3 linked regions of the Chlamydomonas reinhardtii genome follow. The main gene of each other region encodes a partner of the protein of the gene in region 3 in a complex. Links are inferred from orthologs where the notes say so. Each region holds a gene or a part of one and is shown on either strand. Other genes may lie near its edges.

Evidence for each region.
Region 1: CHLRE_02g142850v5 (region 3) and CHLRE_10g441950v5 share a complex: the UniProt entries of both Arabidopsis thaliana proteins name them as parts of the heptameric LSM2-LSM8 complex. The link is inferred for Chlamydomonas reinhardtii from reciprocal best matches to the Arabidopsis thaliana genes LSM8 and LSM2.
Region 2: CHLRE_02g142850v5 (region 3) and CHLRE_06g251300v5 share a complex: the UniProt entries of both Arabidopsis thaliana proteins name them as parts of the heptameric LSM2-LSM8 complex. The link is inferred for Chlamydomonas reinhardtii from reciprocal best matches to the Arabidopsis thaliana genes LSM8 and emb1644.

Annotation. Positions count from the first base shown.
Region 1 is NC_057013.1:3,151,464-3,158,076, reverse strand, and holds CHLRE_10g441950v5 (uncharacterized protein), read left to right. Parts: upstream 1-2,721; 5' UTR 2,722-2,859; coding exon 2,860-2,901; intron 2,902-2,996; coding exon 2,997-3,116; intron 3,117-3,663; coding exon 3,664-3,714; intron 3,715-3,979; coding exon 3,980-4,048; 3' UTR 4,049-4,547; downstream 4,548-6,613. Other genes in the region: CHLRE_10g442000v5 (uncharacterized protein), read right to left, coding at 1-434, 626-852, 1,268-1,440, 1,634-1,698, 1,838-1,986, 2,167-2,234, 2,324-2,490; CHLRE_10g441900v5 (uncharacterized protein), read right to left, coding at 4,572-4,805, 5,004-5,156, 5,280-5,382, 5,564-5,848, 6,232-6,251. UniProt on the Arabidopsis thaliana protein: Component of LSM protein complexes, which are involved in RNA processing. Component of the cytoplasmic LSM1-LSM7 complex which is involved in mRNA degradation by promoting decapping and leading to accurate 5'-3' mRNA decay.
Region 2 is NC_057009.1:318,196-325,190, forward strand, and holds CHLRE_06g251300v5 (uncharacterized protein), read right to left. Parts: upstream 4,670-6,995; 5' UTR 4,416-4,669; coding exon 4,371-4,415; intron 4,292-4,370; coding exon 4,193-4,291; intron 3,917-4,192; coding exon 3,839-3,916; intron 3,587-3,838; coding exon 3,547-3,586; intron 3,262-3,546; coding exon 3,142-3,261; intron 2,858-3,141; coding exon 2,835-2,857; 3' UTR 2,100-2,834; downstream 1-2,099. Other genes in the region: CHLRE_06g251350v5 (uncharacterized protein), read left to right, coding at 6,879-6,937. UniProt on the Arabidopsis thaliana protein: Component of LSM protein complexes, which are involved in RNA processing. Component of the cytoplasmic LSM1-LSM7 complex which is involved in mRNA degradation by promoting decapping and leading to accurate 5'-3' mRNA decay.
Region 3 is NC_057005.1:7,709,062-7,716,219, reverse strand, and holds CHLRE_02g142850v5 (uncharacterized protein), read left to right. Parts: upstream 1-3,427; 5' UTR 3,428-3,555; coding exon 3,556-3,595; intron 3,596-3,692; coding exon 3,693-3,733; intron 3,734-3,924; coding exon 3,925-3,999; intron 4,000-4,252; coding exon 4,253-4,308; intron 4,309-4,487; coding exon 4,488-4,578; 3' UTR 4,579-6,067; downstream 6,068-7,158. Other genes in the region: CHLRE_02g142800v5 (uncharacterized protein), read right to left, coding at 221-385, 721-801, 1,025-1,069, 1,322-1,399, 1,525-1,707; CHLRE_02g142852v5 (uncharacterized protein), read right to left, coding at 2,655-2,840; CHLRE_02g142900v5 (uncharacterized protein), read right to left, coding at 6,317-7,158. UniProt on the Arabidopsis thaliana protein: Component of the nuclear LSM2-LSM8 complex which is involved splicing nuclear mRNAs. LSM2-LSM8 binds directly to the U6 small nuclear RNAs (snRNAs).

The sequences.
Region 1 (6,613 bases), on a different chromosome or scaffold from region 3:
GCCCACTCCGCCCACGTCAGGTAGGTGTCCGTCGTGCTGTGCCCCTCGCTGTGCGCCCGCTGCAGCAGCCCAAACAGCCGCGCCGCCACGCCCACCGCCGCCGCCACCGCCGCCTCCGCGCCCGGCCCCGCGCCCGCCTCCATCAGCTGCTCCAGGGTGCCGCACAGGAAGCCCGCGAACAACTGGTGCATGCACGGCCCGGGCAGCGCTGTGAGAGCCGCCTCGTACACTTGGCAAGCCGCGGCGTGCGCGTCCGCGTCCCACGGCCCCGCTGGTCCCGACTCGCTGTCGCCCTCGGCACCGCCTGCCTGCAGCTGGCGCTCCGCCGCGTCCGCCTCCGCCTCCTCGGTCTGCTCCGCCGCCGCCGGGCCTCCCGTGCGGCTGGCGGGAAAGTCCACCTTGCGCCGCGCCAGCAGGTCCCAGGCCTCCTCCGACTGCGACCGCAACGCAACGTAACGGCTTGACATTGATGTGCGCGTGCGTGCCTGACTATCGGTTCCAGCCACCAGGTTGTCCACAATTGCCCCACAGCCGCGCCTGCAGATCAGCCAAAGACACCAACCCCCACCGGCGCCTCCCCCTCCCCCTCCCTCTCCCCCTCCTCCTCCGCCGCCGCCCCACCCACCTGCCCAAAGTCCTTCTGGATGCTGTCGTACACCTGGTCCAGCAGCCCCTCCACGAAGCCGTACTCAAAGCGCCGCAGCACGTCCAGGAAGCGGCTGCGGAAGCCCAGGCGGGCCGGCAGCGCCGCCACCGCGTTCTTGAACACGATGCGCGCCACGCCGCCCTGCATCACCGCCCGCACCGCCGCCGCGGAAGGCGCACCGGGCGTGCCCGCCTCGCCGCTCACGTCTGCGGCGCGGGAGAGTCAAGACGGATCGGGTGCCGAGGGTGTTACCGGCTGTGTTCACACGCGATGGGGAGTGCGCTTGCTGGTGCGCCGCCCCGCCTGCCCCGTCCCCTGCCTGCCCGAGCGCCTCCCGCTCCGCAGTGGGCGGTGTCGTGGCGGCTGTGCCGACCAGCTGGCAACCCAGTCAGCAACCGCGTGCCCCCTAAGGCTGTCATGGGCTGCGTCCTTCGTGTTTCTGATGATGGTGAGGCCTGTCACTCCAGGGTGCCCCTCCCTGGCGCCGCGCTTCGTCCGCTGGAGTCTGAAATCCAAACGATGCACTCCCTCGCCTGATGTATCAATCTGTTCTCCATGGCCAGGTACTCCCCACCCCCTTCCATGCAACCTGCCCCACACCCCTCATTTTCCCGCGCTCACCCGCCGCCAGGTCGTCCAGACCCAGCACCTTGCGCCGCACGCGCAGCTTGAGCGCGTACAGCAGCTCCAGAGTGTAGTACTGCAGCCACATGTCCTCATCCGCCTTGCACATGCGCAGGCCCTGCTGCATCAGGCTGCGCGCCGCCGCCATGTCGTTGTTGGTGTCGAACTCCCTATGAGGAAGATTGGGTGGTGGTGGTGGTGGTGGTGGGGCGTGACAGGTTCTAGGTTTAAGCACGCTTCACAGTACCCAGACAAGGCGGGAGATGACACCGGGCAGAGGGGCAACACATGACGGGCCGCTGTTGTGCGAGGCAGAGCTTGTGCGGACGTCGCCGGGCTGTTGGCGGCATGCCCGCTACCCACCAGCGCGCTGCCTCAATCCACAGTGCAGAGACCGTGGAATGCCGAGAGAGCGCCTTGGTGATGACCTGCAAGTGGGCACGTGTTCATGGCTGAGCACGGCTTGTTCTGAATGGCTAGCCCGGCCTTCCGGGCCCTGGCCCGCATCCTTTTCACAGGCGCGCAAATCACCCGGACCGAACATGCGCGCAAACTGCTTCAGCACACCTTGGACAGCTGCTTTATGCTCTTGTACCGCTTGCAGACCTCAATCCACCGCAGCCACAGGCTCAGGTCGCTGCGGAACTTGCGCCCAGCGCGCTCGAAGATGAAGTGGATGCGCCGCACGATCGCCACCTCCGCCAGACCCTTCTTCCCTGCAGAGCACAGCACATGCGCCCCCTCAAGTCTGTTCGGCAGAGGAACTCCTGAAGCTCCCAAATAGTTGTCACCTAAGGCAACTTTAATACGCCCGCGGGCGTGGACGGTACTTTCGGACTGTGCGCGTGCCGAAACCCAGAACCCCGTGCAGAACCCCGCCTCCCCGCTTCTCGCACCTTTGATGTGCTTCTTCGCCTTCCGCGCCTGTCGCAGCTCCTCCAGCTTCATTTCGAAGTCGACGTACCTAATTTTATAACCAGATGCCAGCCAATTGGCGCCTATTCAAGGAAAGACCGGCGGCGCATGCACGGTCGGCGCTCACTCGAGACGCACCTGTAATAGTCCTCCTTGAGCGCCGCTCTCCGTTTTAGAAGGTACTCAAAGTTTTGTCGCTTCTGGACTATTTTCTTAACCTCCGCGCGCGTAAAATAGCCTTTTTGCTCTAGGTCCTCCAGCTCCGGAATCATTTGTTCCATTAGGTATTGTACCGTGTCCGCCATGGCTGCAAATTGTTCTTACACCAACGGGCGACTCAGCGCCAAAGACAGTTAGCCGGCGACAGGTTTTTCACGCGTTGCTTTGCCCGTCAGCTAAATCCAAAGGTTTTAAGAGTGTAGACACTGCTTAAACATTGAATCGTGGCGTTTGGAGAGGGTTTCGTGTCAGCTGGGATTGGGCTGCATCGGTGCTGCCTAAAATCCTCTCGCCCTTCGCTGTCCTTCAGGTGCATCCTATCTACTAGTCTCTCCACTGCCTCGTTCTGTATCTGTTAGCGGCCTGTCCTTTGCCGGTTCAGATTGCTGCGTTCAGCGCTGTGCTTTCGGAGCTCTAGATCATAGCACTGGTGTTGAAGCTTAAGTAGCAGTACCATGTTATTCTTCTCACTGTTCAAGACGTTGGTGGGCAAGGAGGTGCGCGCCATGCGGACTAGCCTAAGGACTCTGTGCACTGCGGCAGCGCTTGCCGCAGCAGGATAGCTGACTGGTGGCATTCTGGAACTGCTCAGGTGACGGTGGAGCTCAAGAATGACTTGTGTATTAGCGGCGCGCTGCACAGCGTGGACCAGTACCTGAACATTAAGCTCACCAACACGCGCGTGCACAACGAGCAGAAGTACCCGCACATGGTGAGGCTGGCGCAGTCGGGGGCGATCAACGTTGCCGGGGGAACCAAGTTGAGGTCAGGGGGAAAGGCGCTAGCGGCAGAGGCAGGGTGAGGTGGATGAGAACACGTGCTGGGTACTTCGGTTGGTGCGCGGCGTGGCGGGTAGCGACTCAGAAGCATGAATCAGCAGGGCCGAGCGCGGTTAAACTGGCAGCCACGACAGGTGATGGCGGCTGATGGCAGAGAGGGTATAGATGTCCACAGGTTGCCTTGGCGTCCTCTTGACAAGGCCGGGCGTAACAGCGTGGCGTAACAGTGACAGTCGGGGAATGTTGTGAACCGTATCTTGGGGCAGCACACTGGTACAGCGAGTCGGCCTGGAGGTCTTTTATGGTGGCCCCGGGGTGAGGCGTGGATGGAAGTTGGGGCCTTTATTATATTGATGCTGTTACAGCCGGGAATTCCTGGTGTAACACTCTGGGCTGGTGAGAGCCCATTGCGGGCATGCGGCGCTGGCAAATGATGTCGACTCCTTCACATTCAGTTGCTCCCTTTCCCCATCCTTGCAGATGTCTGTGCGCAACTGCTTCATTCGTGGCTCCGTCGTGCGTTACGTCCACGTGAGTGGGGTGGCATGACAAAGGAAACGTTGCACATCACGCGGCATGGTGCTGACGCTGTTGCTGCCCTGCTCATGAAAGCAAGTGGCCTAGCGTGCCGCACATTTGCACAAATGTTACAGAAGCATATGTGCTTGGCCATTAGGGCGCATTCACCACGCCTACCGCTTAGCACCTGGAGCGGGAATCACTCCACAATTCCACACACACAATCGTGTACGTGTTCCTAAGCTACCCACACACCCTGACTGCCTTGCTCTTACAGCTACCACCCGGGGCCGTGGACGTGGAGGTGCTTCACGACGCCACGCGGCGCGAGGCTCGCGGTGGTTAAAAACAAGTGCAGCTTTGTAACGTTGGATGCCGCTAGGGTGGCCTCGGGTTTAGGCCACAGCCACATGCTGTGTGCCTTATGCCCTAGGACATAATGACTTCTGACGGACTGACGCAAGTGGTGACAGGACTCAATAGTTGCCTGCGCGAGTGCCATTGTGGCACGCCCACAATATGACGGTACACAAGCAGTACTTAACGCGCGTTGCCGACGGCGCAAGCGCAGCTGGCGTTGAGGGAAGCTCATGCGTCAGCTTTCGGGGCGGCGGCTCCCCCGCCCCAGCTGGATTTGAGTAGGAGCTGGTTTTTGATATCTGTGTTGGCTCGTTGGAGCTCGGCCACTTCCCGCTTGAGTGATTGGATGCTGGCCTTGCACGTCTGGATTTCCTGCTCAGCGGCCTGGCAGCGCGCCTCGGCCTGTTAGGGTTGGTGACGCATGGCGACAGTGGTGCTCAGGAACGAGCAACGACATGAAAGCAGAAACCACCAGTCTAGAGGGGCGTGCACTTGCGGCTCCCGGTATTTTAGTAGTACCGTGCTGTGGAGCTGCATGCGCGGATGGGTGATGCGGTCGGAGTGTGATGCCCAGTATCTGGATGGGCAGTAACGAGGAAGATACGGTAGTGCCCAAGTTTGGGGCAGCGCGCCCTCACCTGTAAGGCCTTGCTCTCCTCCATGTTGAGCTGGTCCTGCAGTTCCTTGCGCACGGCGCTGGCGTCCTCCATGGCACGAGCGCGCGCCTGCTGCACCGCCGTGGCCTGCGTGTCCAGGCAAAGGGAGCGCAGCGTTGACCACGGAGCGGGTAGATCGCATTTGTTACAAGAGGGTTGTAAGGGTCGAAGAACGCCACTGGTCGCATCGCACGCAGGGGGCTCTGCAAGGCTGCAACAGCAAACACCGAAGGATGGAACCCAACTACGTCCTGTCAGCCAGCCACGCCACACCGCGCCACGCACCATGCGCTCGTCCACCACCGCCAGCTCCGCCTTCATGTGCACGTTATCATACAGTGACGCCAGCGCGTCGTCCAGCGCCACGTCGTACTCTTGCTTGATGCGCAGCAGCAGCGAGCGGTACGTTGTGAAGCTGTGCAGGAAGGCGTCAAACACCTGTGCGACAGCGCAAGGGGTGGTGGCATGTGCAGTGAGCGGCGCCCAGCGGTGGCGATTGCGCGCGTCAACGGCAGCGCTTGACTAGGACACGCCCTGTGCTCCTATCACATGGAGCCGCACCTGTCGGAATGCGTCCGTGCGCAGCTGTGCCGCCGCGAAGCCCTTGTTGCCGTTGCCCAGCCGCTCCACCAGGCCCAGCTTCTCCTCCAACAAAGCCTCAAGCCTGCGTCACGTGCAAATGAGTGCCAGCTTGTTGAGCGACGACGGCCGAGCACAGGCACCGAAGCTACAGCTCAAGCCTCGCACAGTACACGCCCCATGGACTTCATGGAGATTTGAGAGGTTCCAGCGCACTGCACTGACGCCCCTACATGCTACTTGCATGCTCTTCAAGGTGGGCTTACCGCTGCAGCAGCTTTGGCGTTCGCCCAGCGTCGTCTTCATCACCCCCAATGGGCTCGTTCGAGTATGTTGGCCGCAAGGACAGCAGGCCATTCTTTTGCCGGAAGAGGTCCGGCAGCGTCACCCTGCTCTCATCATTGCTGCTTTGGTATACCCGGGTGGGTGACAGGTCCTTGTACAGCTTGCTCGCAGATATTGACTCCTGCAGGTTCGCCCTCACGCGGGAGGAGGGCGACCCTACGTTGCGAGGGCTGGCGCTCCCTTGCAGCGCCGACACCGGCAGCGTGCTGTGGGGGTACGAGGGTAAGGGCGATGGCAGGAGAGGTGAGGTTCCAGCCATACAAATGGGTTGCCGCTCAAACACCACAGCTGACAAGGCCACGTGATGACACTCGTCAAGGACACAACCGCACAATGCGATGGATGTGCGTGCGTGCTGTGTGGATGTTCTCCACTTCCCACGCCCAGTCAAGCCCTCTGAACATGGCACTTGCTTTCGCAGCTCCGCACGCCTAAACACGACAGCACTGCCTGGAGCCGCAGCTCACGATAAACCTGAACCACTCAGCAACTGCCGGTGCTTGCGCTGAGACAGGAATACGCTGGCGCGCTCGCAGCTGCCCCCCCCCGCTTCCCAACAACACCGGTGCGTGCACGCGTGTCGACTCACCTCGGAACCTGCACCTCCATGCCTTCGCTAGCTATGCTAAGCGTGCTCCACAGAAAGCACGCGCTGGCTCCGTCCGCGAGGGCTCACTTGTTCGCCTGCTGCGGGACCATGGCCCTGCGCATTCGGCTTGGGTGTGAGCGACGCTGGCAGCTATATAAGCTCAAACGAATATGCTATAACATATGGAGAGTTTTTGTTACAAGTACCACTGGAAGGAGGCTACGAACGCGGCGAAAAAGACTTGTCCTTATAAGGAAAGGGGCAAATGCCCGACCAGCTCGAGCTAGTTAATAATTGCAATGCTTGCTCTACGACAAACCCAATGCGTCCCGGCGCAACACGGAGAAATCGATTGTGCATGAGGGCTCCATCATGTTCCAGT
Region 2 (6,995 bases), on a different chromosome or scaffold from region 3:
GTTCCGTCAAAACAATGGTGCAGCTCACACACAACAGACATCCCCACGAAGCGAGGACGCATGGCTGGCGGCGTGCGTGTGTGGGTGCGCTCAACCGTGTTGGCGCACGGGGGTGGCCGCCTGAATGCTCGTTATCCACCACTCCACCCGCCCCTGTGTCCGCCACTCCGCCGCCCAGCCTGGCTGCAAGCAGCCCGCCAACCGTGCCCCGCTGCGACCGCTCGTGTATGTGTACGTATCTACTGCGACCATCGTGCGCGACCATGCATCAGCCCTCCTCTCGACGCAAGCAGGGCGCCTGTGGGTTTCAGGCTATGGAGCTGCACTACACATGTTCAGCCTCCTGATGCGTGGATGCAAAAGCCGTCAGACGCCACGCATGGCCCATTACTGCATGCATGCATGTGAGCGCTGTGCTGGCATCCGAGCACCATGCGGTGCGCTGCCGTGCAGCATGGACGGTATGGTGCTTGCGCCTCGGCCTGATAGTGGCACGTACCGTATGCAGTGTGCCCGGTCGCTCCTCACGCTCATGTGCTCCCTGACATGACATGCAGAGCTTGCTCTCATGCACGCTGGGCCCTTGCCAGCCAGGCCATCCCTACTCGTTGGGCGTCGGTCCCCCTGCTTCGCGGAAGCGCAGGCCCCCACCTCTCGTTCATCTTCACCCATACCGTACTCAATTCAAGTACAGCGTGTGTCTGGCTGTTTACAGGGTATGTCCTGCTGGGCGGACACCTGTGCACACATGCCCCGGCCTCGATGGGCTGGCCCTGGCGCTCCGCCGTACGGCAACACATGTGGCGGCAAGCAAGCCCGCTGCCAGCTGCCTCCACCACTGCTATCAGTCGCTACCGCCTGCATCCGCCATTGCCTGGTCCCATCCCCTGGCCAGCACTGCCTAAGTCGCAATTCCCTACGGACCCACCGCCTCAAGGAGCAGTCTCAAGGAGCGGTCTCAAGGAGCAGTCTCATGGAGCAGTCTCATGGAGCAGTCTCAAGAAGCAGTCTCATGGAGCAGTCTCAAGGAGCAGCCTCGAGGAGCAGTCTCATGGAGCAGTCTCAAGGAGCAGTCTCAAGGAGCAGTTCCAAGGAGCAGTCACAAGAACTAGTCACAAGAACTAGTCACAAGGAGCAGGCGCCAACTCACGTGGCGCGCAGCAAATACCGTTAGTGGCCACAATAGGCTACACGGGCTCATCTGTCTTTAATGGCGCCCGCATCGCCTAATTCTACCCAACTGTCCCCTTCAACGTATCTGCATGGACTGTCCGTCCTGTCTCCCATCTACCACTGAACGCGCACAGTTCCCCCCCCCCCTTTGTACGTCGTTGCGGGGTGATGTGATCGCACCTCGGTCACCGCTCAGGTGGACGCCCTGGCAAACATAATGAAGAGCCAGACCGAAGCGTGTGATGGGCTACGTCTTAGATACAGATGCCCACATTGTGGCTAGTGCACGAGCGGGCAAGTCACGGCCAGGCACGTACAGGCGACCTGTAGAGGGCAACCTGAGTAGTAGGGGTGCGCATCCCAACGAGATGCGGACGCGCCGAACACGTCGGCATGCCCACATCCGCGCCCGCGCCCAGTGCGGCATGCGCAGCCAGCGTGCTCCGGGCATGCTCTGAGGGTCACAAGAGGTGTAAAAGCACGCCCTGGCAGTTTTGGGGCAGATGCACGGGTGCCGGGCCCGTCAACAGAACGACAATTTGACCACTTGGCCACTGTGCCTCTTTGGTGGCACTGGCGGGCTGGCGGCAGTCCATGCGCTCCCGTCGTGCCGGAGCCGTGAGGGGCGGCCAGGCCTGTCAGACCAAGCCGCCGGTGCATCCTGAGGCTTTGCTACATGCCATTTACACACGTAGCGCAAGGGGACGCAGGCAGGCGGGAGGAAGCCCAGCAATCCTCCCCTCGCCCCGTGATGGCCCCGTCATGCTACCGCCGCCCGCATGCGACACAACGCAACACCCTGCTATGTGCCGTCAGCCATTCGGCCTCGCGGGTGTCGTAGAATCGCTGCGCCAGCGTTTGCTGCTACGTCTCCAGCCTTTCCGATTCCGTAAACATGCAGCTGTATGCTTCATGTAATGCCCTTCGTCTTAGAGTGGTTACAGGGAATGCGCTGTCTGGCGCTGCTGTGCGGGCACATGTACACACATGCCCGTTTGGGTGGGGCCCAGAAGGCCAGGACCCACACTGGCCAAGCCAACCTGCAGGGGCAACTTCACTATCCAAGTTGCCCCCTACGGCCCTACGTGCGTGACTGGCCGTGACTAGCCCGCTCGTGCACCAGCCGCAATGCCTCTGTATCTAAGACGTAGCCCACACACTTCGATCTGGCTCTTCATTACGTTTGCCAGGGCGTCCACCAGAGCGGTGACCGCGGTGCGATAACAACACCCCGCAACGACGTACAGTTTGCTCGGCCAGCGCTGGGCAACCCACAGCCTCCCCACAATCCAGGCCCCACAATCCAGTCAAGCCAGTCAGCCCGCGTGGGCGGAGCCACAGACCCCAGACATGCCCTGCTGGCCCGCGGCGCCCCCACGACCTCCCCATCATTAGGGAGCTGGCCGCCCCACGCCGCACTTACATGCATACCGCACATGGATAGCGGCAAGCAAGGCTGGCTACTACCACCTCAGCTCTCAATCACCATTCACAATCCGGTGCCGGCAAGCAGCCATGCAAACAAATCACGTTCCATTGTCTGCCCCGCGTGCTGACGCCCGCCCCCGCGCCGGGCTCGCCGGCGCCGCAGTCGCTTCGCTTCCGCCCGAGTCCGCCACCACGTCCACGGCCTTCGGGACAGCAGTCCGCTGCCGCGCTGCTCAGCTGCGCCCGCGCCCACGCCCTGCGGCACCACACCGTATCCGGGCGGTCAGCTCTTGATGCAGTGCGCGTATGCCACCTAAGCCAGACCACCAGCACCGCGTCCTCATGTATCCACACACACGAGCCATGCCAAATCCCAGGGAGCGCAGGTGTTGCCGCAAAGGAAGGTGGGCCAACGCCTTGGGGTGGCGCGCAGGCTGGCACGCCAGGCCACGGCTGCATCCAGACGTGCCTGATGCCATAACATGGCTGATCCAGATCCATGGCAGTTCGCACCAGCCCGCACCCCTACAACCAACTCACCGCGTCCTGCCTCGCCACGGCCACGGCCGCCGCCCTCGCCGCGGCCCCCACCGCCCTCGCCGCGGCCTCCCGACCAGCTGCGGCCGCCACGACCGCGGCCGGCCACTGTGGGCCGCTTCTCTGAGGTGAGCGCAACCGACACATGGTGGGCGAGTCAGTGCAGGTGCGGTACAAGTGCTGCAGCCACAGCTGGAGCTGCCGGCAGGCAGACTGCCCCGTGGCACCATGAGAACCATGCCCTGTACTGGACTGTACTGGAGGGCACGCCGGCCCCACACCCCGCCGGGCCGCCCCGCCCCGCCCCGCCTCGCCCCGCCCCGCGCCACCCCGCCCTACCCAGTGCCCAGCGCTTGCCCCTTGGGCCCCTTCCCTGTAAAGCGTGTCCCCCTTTGCCCAGGTCCTCACCGTCGCGTCTCAAGTTCTCCTCCTGTACCTTGTCCACCACCTGCCACACCCGCCGGGATACAAGTGGTGGTTAACAGCAGGCCAGTGCAAAGCACGGGTATACGGCAGTCGGTTGCGCCACCATCTGCGGCAGGGCACCACTGCACGGCGCACACGTGCACCTGTCCTCAAGCCCACGTTCACGAGCCCACGCCCCATCATCCCCCCAAGTTGCCCTCCTTAACTCGGCCCCTTAGCACACCGTCACAAGTGCAGGCTTACGGTGTGGTGAAGACAACCCACCCCGCCTCACCTCCTCGGGCACGCTGATGTACTTGATGGTGTTGCCACGGATGTAGGCCTCGGGCATCTTAAAGAACCGCTGCCCATCCTGTGTACGCGCGCATATGTGCCAGTATCAATAGAACTCAGCCGGATACGGCAAGCTCCACACGGGCGTTGCGCCTCCGACCGCAACTCTCCGCCGCCCCTCCCGCTGCCTGCGTGCAGGCGCCCTTATGCTGCATTGGATCTCCAGGCCGCCAGAATGGTCCTGCCGCCGGTAACAAGCCCATATGGAGCTTGTGGGTCCACAGCGGCGTGGCGCACAGCGGCGCGGGGTGGCCTGGTTGCCCCGGGGCCGCCGTCCGGAGCCCTGCAAACCCACCTTGGACGTGCAAATGACCTCCGACAGGTGCAGGTTCATCCATGTGTCGCAGTGCTGGAGATAACCGTTGTACGTCTCTCCATTTTTTAACTCCACAAGCTGCGAGAAGGACCGAAGTTGGCCCGCATGGTCAGCAGCTCGCGCAGGTGGCAAGGTCCTGAGTCCAGATATTACTCACCACCCCATGGCGCTGAGCCGTCTTTAGCAACGAAAGGGGCAGCATGGCTCCGAGAGCAGCACCCGAGATCCTGCGCACGATGCGCCCCGAACCCAAGCACTACGCGCGTCTTGTGAGGATGGAATAGATGATTCCTTACAAGCTACCAGGAGCCTGGACGTGTGGGGTTTGACTTGGTTTAATGTAGTCAGTCGCCAAGCAATTTTTGAGTCGCGCGAGTTGGCTTTGTGTTTCAGAGAAGCTGTACAACGCAGTTTTATATACTGTGGGTGTTTAAAGCTTTGGGGTGCCACAGCCGGTCTCCAGAGGATTTGCTTTCCGTGCTTGCATCAGGCACACAGAGGGGCAGGTCGGGGCAGGTCGGGGGGGGCATAGGGCGCGCCTGGGCGTGCCTATTATGTCGTGATGACCTTCGGCCCTGCCCATGGATGAATTTCTGCTGCACACCCGCATAATGAAAGGGATGTGCGCTGTGGCCAGCTCGTAAGCGAGGGTAGCGGCAGAGCACCCCTGCGGTACAGGCAAGCAAGGGAGGTGTCTGCCCCTCGTGCTGAACACGTTTCCCCCTGCCTGATACCAAACCCCTCAGTCCCTCACTCGCATCAAATAGCGACCTGCCGCGGAGAACGGCGTCCATCGCTCCAGGGAGGATGCTGCTCAGAGTCAGCATTGCCTCTTGGGGGGACAACACGTTTGTTCACATGCATCACGCTGCACGCTTGACGCATCACATTCAGCAAATTTCCCGAAGCCGGGCTCGGTTTATACAGGCACCGCCCGCCATGTGTCCAGCCGCGTCCCACTGTCAAGCACAAGCACAGCCGGCAACAAAACCAATCAGTAATGAATCCCGTCACACGCCGTGCCACGCTATGTTCGCCAGCAAAGACCGCAAACCAGACACCGGCAATCTCAACCTGCGCGCCGGCACCGCTTCTCGGGCGGCGCCGCGCTCGCCTCCACGTGCGTGGCCTTGCCTGCCCTCTATGTTGCACGCATGCACGCCGCCACTGCTGGGCGCAGGGCCGCTGCCTCCGCCGCTGCCGGTCCTGTGCCGCAGCCGCGGCCGCCAGGCCCTGAAAATCCAGGAAAAAAAGGGTCCAACCCAGAACACTCTTCCGCACAGGACCATGCAGAAAGGCACAACCAGCCAGAGGTCGGGCGACACAGTCGCCCTCCAGCGATGGAGGGCGGGGGCGGGGGGCGGCGGGGCAGCATTTACGTCAGGTACCACAAGCAGCATACAATGACCCGTCCCACGCGCGAGGATGGGTGGCCACCAGGCACCACATCCCATCAGCGCGAGGAAACCCTACACGTGGCGCATGTCTGTGACCGCCCCCAGAATTGCAAAGTACCCTAAAGTACCGCGACCCCCAGGCTGACACTACGTCCCAGGTGGCCCAACGCTGGCGGCACTTGAACCAACCACAACGCCGCACGGTCGAATACTTTGAGGGTGTAATCAGGCAACGTACCCATGTCCATGCGCCCACATGCTCCCACAACGTACGGGCCACGATACAATCCCAGAAATAGTGGCGTCGGTCCCCGTCCCCCATGTCGGCACCACACGCACGACACGGCGGGACTGGCTACTTTTATTCGCATTTACGCATTTCAATGGTCGCCCTGCCGCGCGCGAACACGCATTCATAGGGAAGGCCCAACACGCATTAGCAACACACCAAAGGCCTCCTTATTGCGGTTCCCACTTGCATTTCCCTTTTTATGCACAGATTGCAAGCGCTTTGCAGACAGCGCAGCAAGCTAGGGACCAAGCTGCAGCAACGTGCCCGCCTGCGCACGGTACAGCTGAATCATGATGGGCGGCCCCGCAGCCCCCGCTGGCTGCGCCCATCTCAGGCCCCACAAAAACTGCTGAGTAGACTTCGCTGCATCCGGTACGGTAACAGGGGTGCCATGTACCAGCCCGACGGCCCGACGGCACGCGCCGCCGCCTCCCATCCCGCGTGCAGGAGCGCCACGGCCGCTGCAAAGCGGACCGGCTGGCTTTCCTGTTGCTGAGTGTGTTTTAAGAAGACGAACTTGCACGGTGTCGGTATAGTGTGTCACAGCTAGCAGGCCGCACTGGAGGAAACCCGTCAGTAGCGCAAAATGCGAGTCCACATGACCAAAGTCCAGGCGGCGACGAGTGGCGGCGCGCGGCGGAATTATGCGAGGCGGGGTAAGGTACATGCATGCTGATGTTCCGTTTCCCATCGCGGCGGCAGCAGCCAAGAAGGCGGCGGGCGCAGCATTAGCGCTCTGCCGTGGGAGGAGGCCAAGAAGGTGGCCAAGACGGCGAAGCAGGAGAAGGCGCAGACTCGGTGAGGCCGAGGGCCCGATGGGTTAGTGCCCGGGTAGTGACATGTCGGATTATACTGACTTGCTGATGAAGTTTACTATCAACCGTGACACATTTATTGCACCTAAGTGGTCACCTAGCACCGCCAGCTCAAGGATTGACATTTCTTACTGACGACTCGCGACGGCTGCACCAGAAGGATGCAAGACTCTCTGATATTGATAGCAAATGCAAATGCAGATGGTCTTATAATTGCGTGGTGAGCAGCCGGCGTGTTTCTTTGTCTTGACCCCTCGGCGTTTGGCCTTCCGCGTGCA
Region 3 (7,158 bases):
AGCCCCACAGCTGCGCCCCCCCCATCACGAGTCCCATGACGACATGGCCATCGGTCAGGTCATGACCGCGCGAGCGCACCACGGCACCACGCACAGGCGCTACCTCGCGCTGCTGACCCCTCTCCAGGTAACCCCCGCTCGCCGCCCCGGCCAGCCGCCCCGCCGCCTGCCAGCTGTCCTGCTGCTCCGGCGCGGCTCCCCCGCTCCCCTCCTTCCCCCTCTACTGCTGCGGCGCCTCGGGCTGCTGCGGCTGCCCCGGCGTCTGGCCGGCCTCGATCTGCCCCACGATCTCCATGATCTGGGCGGCGGGCAGGAAGCCCTCGGTGCGCAGCGCGGGCTTGCCGGCGTCCTTGGGGATGATGACGATGGTGGGCAGGCCCTGGATCTGCAGGGGGCAGCAGCGGCAGCAGGGCGGGGCGGAGAGGGAGGCAGGAAGGCGGGCAGGCGGGTAGGGGATGGGGTCATAGAGGGGTGTAGGGTACGGGAGGTGTTGCGTTCAGTTATGCATTGCGACGCGAGGGGTTTTGAGGGTCGCGCAGACACGGCGCCGCAGCCCGTGCAGCCCACGCGGGCAAGCAGCAGCACGCGGGATGCGGGGGCTGTGCATGCCGCATGCGGCCCACCGCCAGCGCCCGGTCCCCCACCTCGCCACCGCCTTCCCAACGCATGTTTGCCCCGCCCGCCCTTCCCAGCCCGCCCCCTCTTGACACGCCCGCTCACCCGCAGCATGTTGGACAGGTCGGGGTTCTCGTCCACGTCGATCTTCACCACCTTGACACGCCCGTCCATCTCCTCCGCCACCTGCAGGGCCGTGTAGGTGTGTGTGTGTGTGTGTGTGTGTGTGTGTGCACGTGTGTTGGCAGGTGTGTGCGCGCACACAGTGCTATGGTGGCTGCTGCCTACACGGTTGCCGGTACCTAGCGCTGACTGCCCAGCACACAGGATGACTGCCACGCACACACAACCCCCTTACCCCCACGCACACACAGCCGCCCCCATACACAGCCCCCAGACACAAACGCACCTGCTCCAGCTCACGCGCCAGCAGCAGGCAGGGGCCGCACCACGTCTGCGCACCAGTCAGAAGACATCAAGACAAGCACGGCACGTTTGAGGGTGGGCACGGCGCAAGGCGGCGCTGGCGCGTGCAAACGCTGCATCAGCACGCGGCCGAGGGGCGGAGCGATCGTGCGACGATCCCCGCCCTGCACCACCCGCCGACAACCCCCCGCCCTACAACGCCGGATGTGGGCCGCTGGCGCCGGAGGGAGCAAGCACAACGCTCCGTCGCCACTACCCGCCCGCCGCCCCCCGCACGCACCGCAAAGAAGTCGACAATTAGAGTTGTATCGCGAGAGGCGATGGCAACCTCCAGCTGCTCGCCCGAGATCTTCTCCACCTGCAAACGCCAGGGCGCAAGTTACGTCGCGACGATCGGCCCGCTGGGTCACATGGGACCGCCGCGCTGTGCAACCAAGCCCGATACCCACACACAAGCTACCCGGTCACGGTTCGTGCTCTCGCCTTTCCATGGCTAATGACGCTCCGGCGACACGTCACGCCCGGAGCTCCGCGCTGCGACACCGGCGACGCCACCGGCACACGGGCAGCCACCACGGGCTTCGGCAGGCTGCCGAGAGCAACAGCTTTGCGTCCTTGCCGAGCAGAGAGGGTCGCCCGGCTCGAGGTTTGGCTGAGGGTGTGCATCGTGTGTCGGAGCGGCTGAATTCTTTGACGGAAAAGATTAGGAATCAATTCGTAACTTTAACCAAGAGGAATTGAGCTGGTACGTATGAACAGAAGGCTCTGCAAATGGTTGCAGCGAAAAGCTGGATTGCGACCGGCTCAGACTGGCTCATTCGCCGTGAAGCCTGTGATAACGGACGCAGATAGCATGTATTGTGTGGTGGAGGCAAACGTACAGAACACGGTGGGGGGTGTGGATGGCGGTCTGGGTGGCGGAGAACTGCAGGCGGGAACGTAGCGTGCCGCCGTCAAGCCCGCGCCACACGCGAGCAAGCAAAGCACCAAAGCATAACGCTCATACGGACATTGCATGCGCCCTAATAAGAATGCAATGTAGACTCGTAGCGCTTGTGCACGCGCAGCACCCGCCGGCCTCAGATGCCTGCACGCGGGCACGGAATGCCCGACCGCCTGACCTGCCTGAAGTTGCGCATAACAGCCAAAGCAAGTCCTTGCTAGCCCGTTGGCACAGCACGCAATCACGCGCTTTCAAGATGCAGGCCGTGTGGTACATGAGTTCCGCATGCTGTGACAGGAACATCAAGGCAAACACCATGAACATGCACGAGTAAGCCGGTGGTAGTGACTGAAGTTGTCAGGCCTTGCAAGAGGCCCTTGGGCAAGCATACATAGGTGGGCGCTTATGGGCCCTCTCACATAACATTTCTCACGTGCCTGCAGTGCGGCACCTCAAACTATCACGGCATGTGCTGCCGCACCGAATGCGCCGCATCACTTGGGTGCACCAGACCGCCTTGCACGGCCACGCCGCAAGCCTGCGCCCCGCCGCCCCTGTCCCCCCCCCCTGCTGCACCAACATGCCTGGCTACAGCTTGCCGCGCCATTGCAACTGCCACTGCCACAGCCACTGCGGTTGTGCGTGCGACTTCCTCCTTCTCCTCAAGCCGCTAGCCGCCACGCGAGCGCGCTGCTGACGCACAGGCTGCTCCCAAGGGGCAGCAATCACCGGGTCCTGCCGCCAGCACGCCGCTGGTGCGCGGAAGGCGGTGCCAAGGCGGTGCGAAGGCGGTGATGCCGATGCCTTCTGAGGTGCTGGCGGCAGCCTTTCCCCCCAAGTGCGTGCCAGCCCCCATCCCGCACCTGCAGCCGACACATGAGGTAGCACACACGGTCTTCCCGCAGCCCTGTCCTGCCGCCGCAACGGACGGACTGCAGTGCGTTGGGTGTGCCGCTGATGCCGGCCGCCGCCATGCGAAATTCGGCGCGACACGCAGCGCCCGCACCGGTGTGCCGGACAGCCCTCCAGCCTGCAAGTTTCCATCGGCCACCTCCACTCACATGCCGTGCCTCTGCCAGCGTCTGAGCTGTCCCTAGTAGGATACACTCAGAGGCGGGTTGCGGGCTAATGAAGGGGGGTTGGCCCCGCTGTGAAGCCCCACGGTGTGTTTCCCCCTGCTACTCCTCTGCGCATACACGGTAACATGTCAACTGTTCAAAGGTGTGAGAGCGGCAGCAGGTGGCAGGGCTCCATATTGCAAAAGAGTTTCGAGAATTCGTGCCGGCCCGAGGACCCCGGTGTCTTCGTTTCCTTGATAAGCATTTAAATGCGCCATACTTATGATATGGATTCTTTCGTGGCCCTACAACTATCCTATTTGGGGCAGAATGGGTTTCCACATTGCTCCATGCTGCTCTCTCACCGTTCCTGTGACATGTCGACGTGCTGTGCAGTACATGCAAGCAGTGTTTTAGGGCCACGTTGAATCATATCTCTGTCGCCGATCAAAGCTTGCAGGTTGTGCACACCGAACGCGGGCCGGACCGATCTGACTAGTATTTCTTAATTCAATGTCAGGCAACGACACAAAACTTACAGACCTGGTTGGATGTAAGTACCCGCACGCCCCAGGCAGCTCCAAATTGCGCGCGCATCTTGCGCAACTAGCTCAGTTCTCCCGCTAACCCCAATAAACCTATGCATGCAGCTCAAGTCACCGTCATCACGAATGACGGCAAGCACTACGTGGTGAGTGGAGGAGCGCTGCCGGTGCCCCACAGGAGTCACCTGGACAGGAGGCGGCACGCCGGGGCGCGCGGCGCGCTGCTCCTGCTGCCCAGCGGGGATGTCGGGTGATTGACGTGTAATCGCCATGCTCTGGACGGGCTGCTGTCATGATGCGGTGCTCACCTGGGCTGGCGCATTGTGTGGACCCGCAGGGAGTGCTGCGCGGGTACGACCAGACCTGGAACCTGCTGTTGCAAGAGTGCCAAGAACGGGTGTATTCCGCAAAGGTGCGGACCCGGCGCCGGCAGGCAGGAGGCGGGACGTCTGGGAGGGCGCGTGACAGCCGGGGTACACTCCGCCCAGCTCGCTGGGGGAGGCGTGTATTTGTGCATGCGGGGACAGGCGTGTGGTACTTCGGCTGCCTCGGTGTATGCGGCGGCGTACCACACAGCATGTGTCCTGCGGCGTCCTGACATGCAGCCAGGGACCTGACCCCGAGACCCTGCCGTGCTCCGCCTTGCTTGGCTGCGTGCTTTGCAGTCTGGTGTACAAGTCATCCAGAACCCCGGGATATACTGCATCCGAGGAGACAACGTGTAAGTCGACCCGGGTGGGAGGGGCGCACGGCGCGTGCTACCTGCCCTGCGGCACGGCCTTGAGAGCCGGAACTCCTCTGTTTCGATGTTAGCCGTCATCTATAAATCCAGTACACGCCGCACCTGACAATTTGCCGTGTTGCCGCGCCACCCACGTCCTTCCTCTGTGTTGTGCACAGCGCGATAGTGGGCGAGGTGGATGAGGAGGCGGACGGCGCAGTGGACCTCTCAGCCATCCGGGCGGCGCCGCTGGTGCCCATCCGCCACTGAGCGCCATCCCGGCTGGGTCGGGCGGGTGGGCGGCCCGCGGGCTCATGGTCCAGCGGGCGCCGCGCGCGAGGGTGGGCCGGGCTGGGCCGGCGAGGGGCAGGAGCAGGAGCGGGATGACTCAGGAGTTTTAGGGCAGGAGGCATATGGGAAAGCCGAGCGGAGCATGAGACGACGTGAGGACGACAGGAGCTTTGGAGGAAGGGAGCAGCCGTGTGTGGCTGCCAGCGCCCGGTGGCGGCACGGCAGCCGTGTCAGCCGTGTCAGCCGTGTCAGCCGGAGCCGGCGGCAGTAGCAGCGGCATTTCGACACGGCAGACGCAGGCGCGGGGGCAGGGGCAGCGGGGGCCCTTCACAGGACGGCCGTCGTGCGGGCTGGATTGGCGGGCGGTGGAGTAACATGTGGCACCAGCCCTGCCCGCGTCCTGGGTCGGCACCCGACAGCTGTCAGCCAGGCTGTCAACCGCGGCCGTCCTGCCGCAGCCGCAACAGCTGCCGCCGGATGCAGCCGCACAGCCCCCTGCAGCCAGCTGCGTTGAGTTGGGCTGGGTTGGACACGGCGCTGCACGCGGTCAGGCCGGGGGCCGTTCGCCTCACACCGCCACACCTGGTGCCGTCAGTGGGTGAACATGCCTCATTGGAGACAGCAGCCCAGGTGGCTCCAGGCAGCGGACATGCGGAGGCCTTGGTGGCGCCCTGCGCAGGCAGGCACACGAACGGGCAGGACGGCGGGCGGCCGAGCGAGCAGGCGGACGGGGGCGCTGTGGCTGTGGCTCGACACCCTGCCTACCCACGCCCCGCTGCGGAGCTGCCGGCAGGCGGTGGCGTGGGTTGGGCCACAGGGGGGGGCTGGGGGTGCGCCGCCGCGTGGGACCCGGAGCGCACCGCCGGCGCGGGCGTGGCGTGCGGTGCTTTCCACACTTGGCATTTGGTCAGTGCCGTACATTGGCGGCTCGTGGAGGACTAGGGCCTGGAAAGTGCACAACGGGGTTACTGGTGGCGTTGGCTTTGATGGTGAAAGTCTGTCGGCTTCCTCGCCCCTTCTTGCAACGGATCGAGGAAGCCGTCGTGGGGCATGCGGTGCCGCTGCACACAGGGCGAAGGGCACAGACACGGGCGGACTGCCTGATTGCAGTTTTGGGAGCGATGAGCTGCCTGGGTCCTTTGGGCTGACTGGCTGCATTGGGGTAGGTGGTCGGTCTTTCCGGACTGATGTACAGGAGTGCGGGTGCAGGGTGTGGGGCTGTGGGCCGCTCGCCGGAGGTGCAGAGCTTGTGTGTGGGGGGTTTCGGGATGTGCGGGACGGCGAGCTGAGGCCTGTACGACGCAGAGACTCCCTCTCCCCCAGGTGTTGCGCGCGTGTGTAAAACATCTGAAGCCCGCCGGACGGCCCGCGTGTGTGTGGCTGCTGCATGGTAAGGTTGGGGGCGGCGGATGGAGGATCAGTCAGGATCAGTATGGTGTCCTCCGTGGATGTGTAAAAGGTGCCGGTAGCAAAGGCAACCAGCGTACCAGTAGCCCTGTAGCCCAGTACGAAGCAGCAGTAGCGAAATGGCGAAGCCAAAGAACAGTGGCCAGCGAACTCGACTATCCCGTCCTGACTTCCACTTCGGCGTGCGCTTGCATATCGACGACTTGCCCACTGCCTCGCCGCCCTCACGCCACTGCCGCATGAGAGCTGCGTGTGGTGTTGGACTACAAGTCCCGCGGTTCCGCCCACACACTGCCCTCGCTCCCGTTCGTTAGTCCCCCAGCACATGCCAGCGCACACAGCTCTGCAGGCGCCGCACTGCCGCCAGCGATCCGCCCGCCCCCGCCCCCACTCCCGCTGCTGCTGTCAGGTCCGCCCGCAGCGCCGCCGCCGTGTCTGCCAGCCGCGGCAGCAGCGCTGCCTCGTGCGCACCCCCGGCAGTGCCGCAGTGCGGGCAGCGCGGGTGCCAGCAGGCCTCAGCCGCCGCCAACACCGCGGTCGGCCCCTCTGGCGGCACTGCATACGGCTCCGCCGCGGCGCCGCTGCCAGCCCCCGCCCCCGTTCCGGTCTCGCCGTCAGCGCTCACCCCCGCATTGATAGCACTGCCGTCCCTCCCTGCCACCGCCGCCGCCGCGCCCGCCGCCGCCGCCGCCTCCAGCAGCCCCTGCAACACCCCCAGCTCGTACAACACCTCCGTACTGCAGCAGCCGTACACCAGCGCCAGCGCCGCCACACTCTCAACCGCCATGGCGGCACCACCAGCCGCCAGCTCAGCTACGGCGGCGCCGCGTTCCGCTACCGCCGCCGACCCAGTTACTGACGCCGCCGCCACCGCCGCCGCGGCCGCCAGGACGTCGGCCGCCGCCGTGGCGGCTGCGTGCAGTCCCGCCCCCAGCAGGCGGCTGGTGCAGGGCAGCACACGCCGCCGGGCCTCCGCTGCGCCCGCCAGCCGCCGCCAGCCAGTGCGCGCCGCCTCCGCCACTTCCACCGCGGCTGCCGGCGCCGCCGCGCCGCCGCCGCTGCCGGGCTGCAACGCGGCCAAGGCTCGGCCCAGCTCGGCATGCCCCGCCCCCTCTAGCTGCGCCGCCTCCGCCAGTGCCGCCGCCGCCTGCG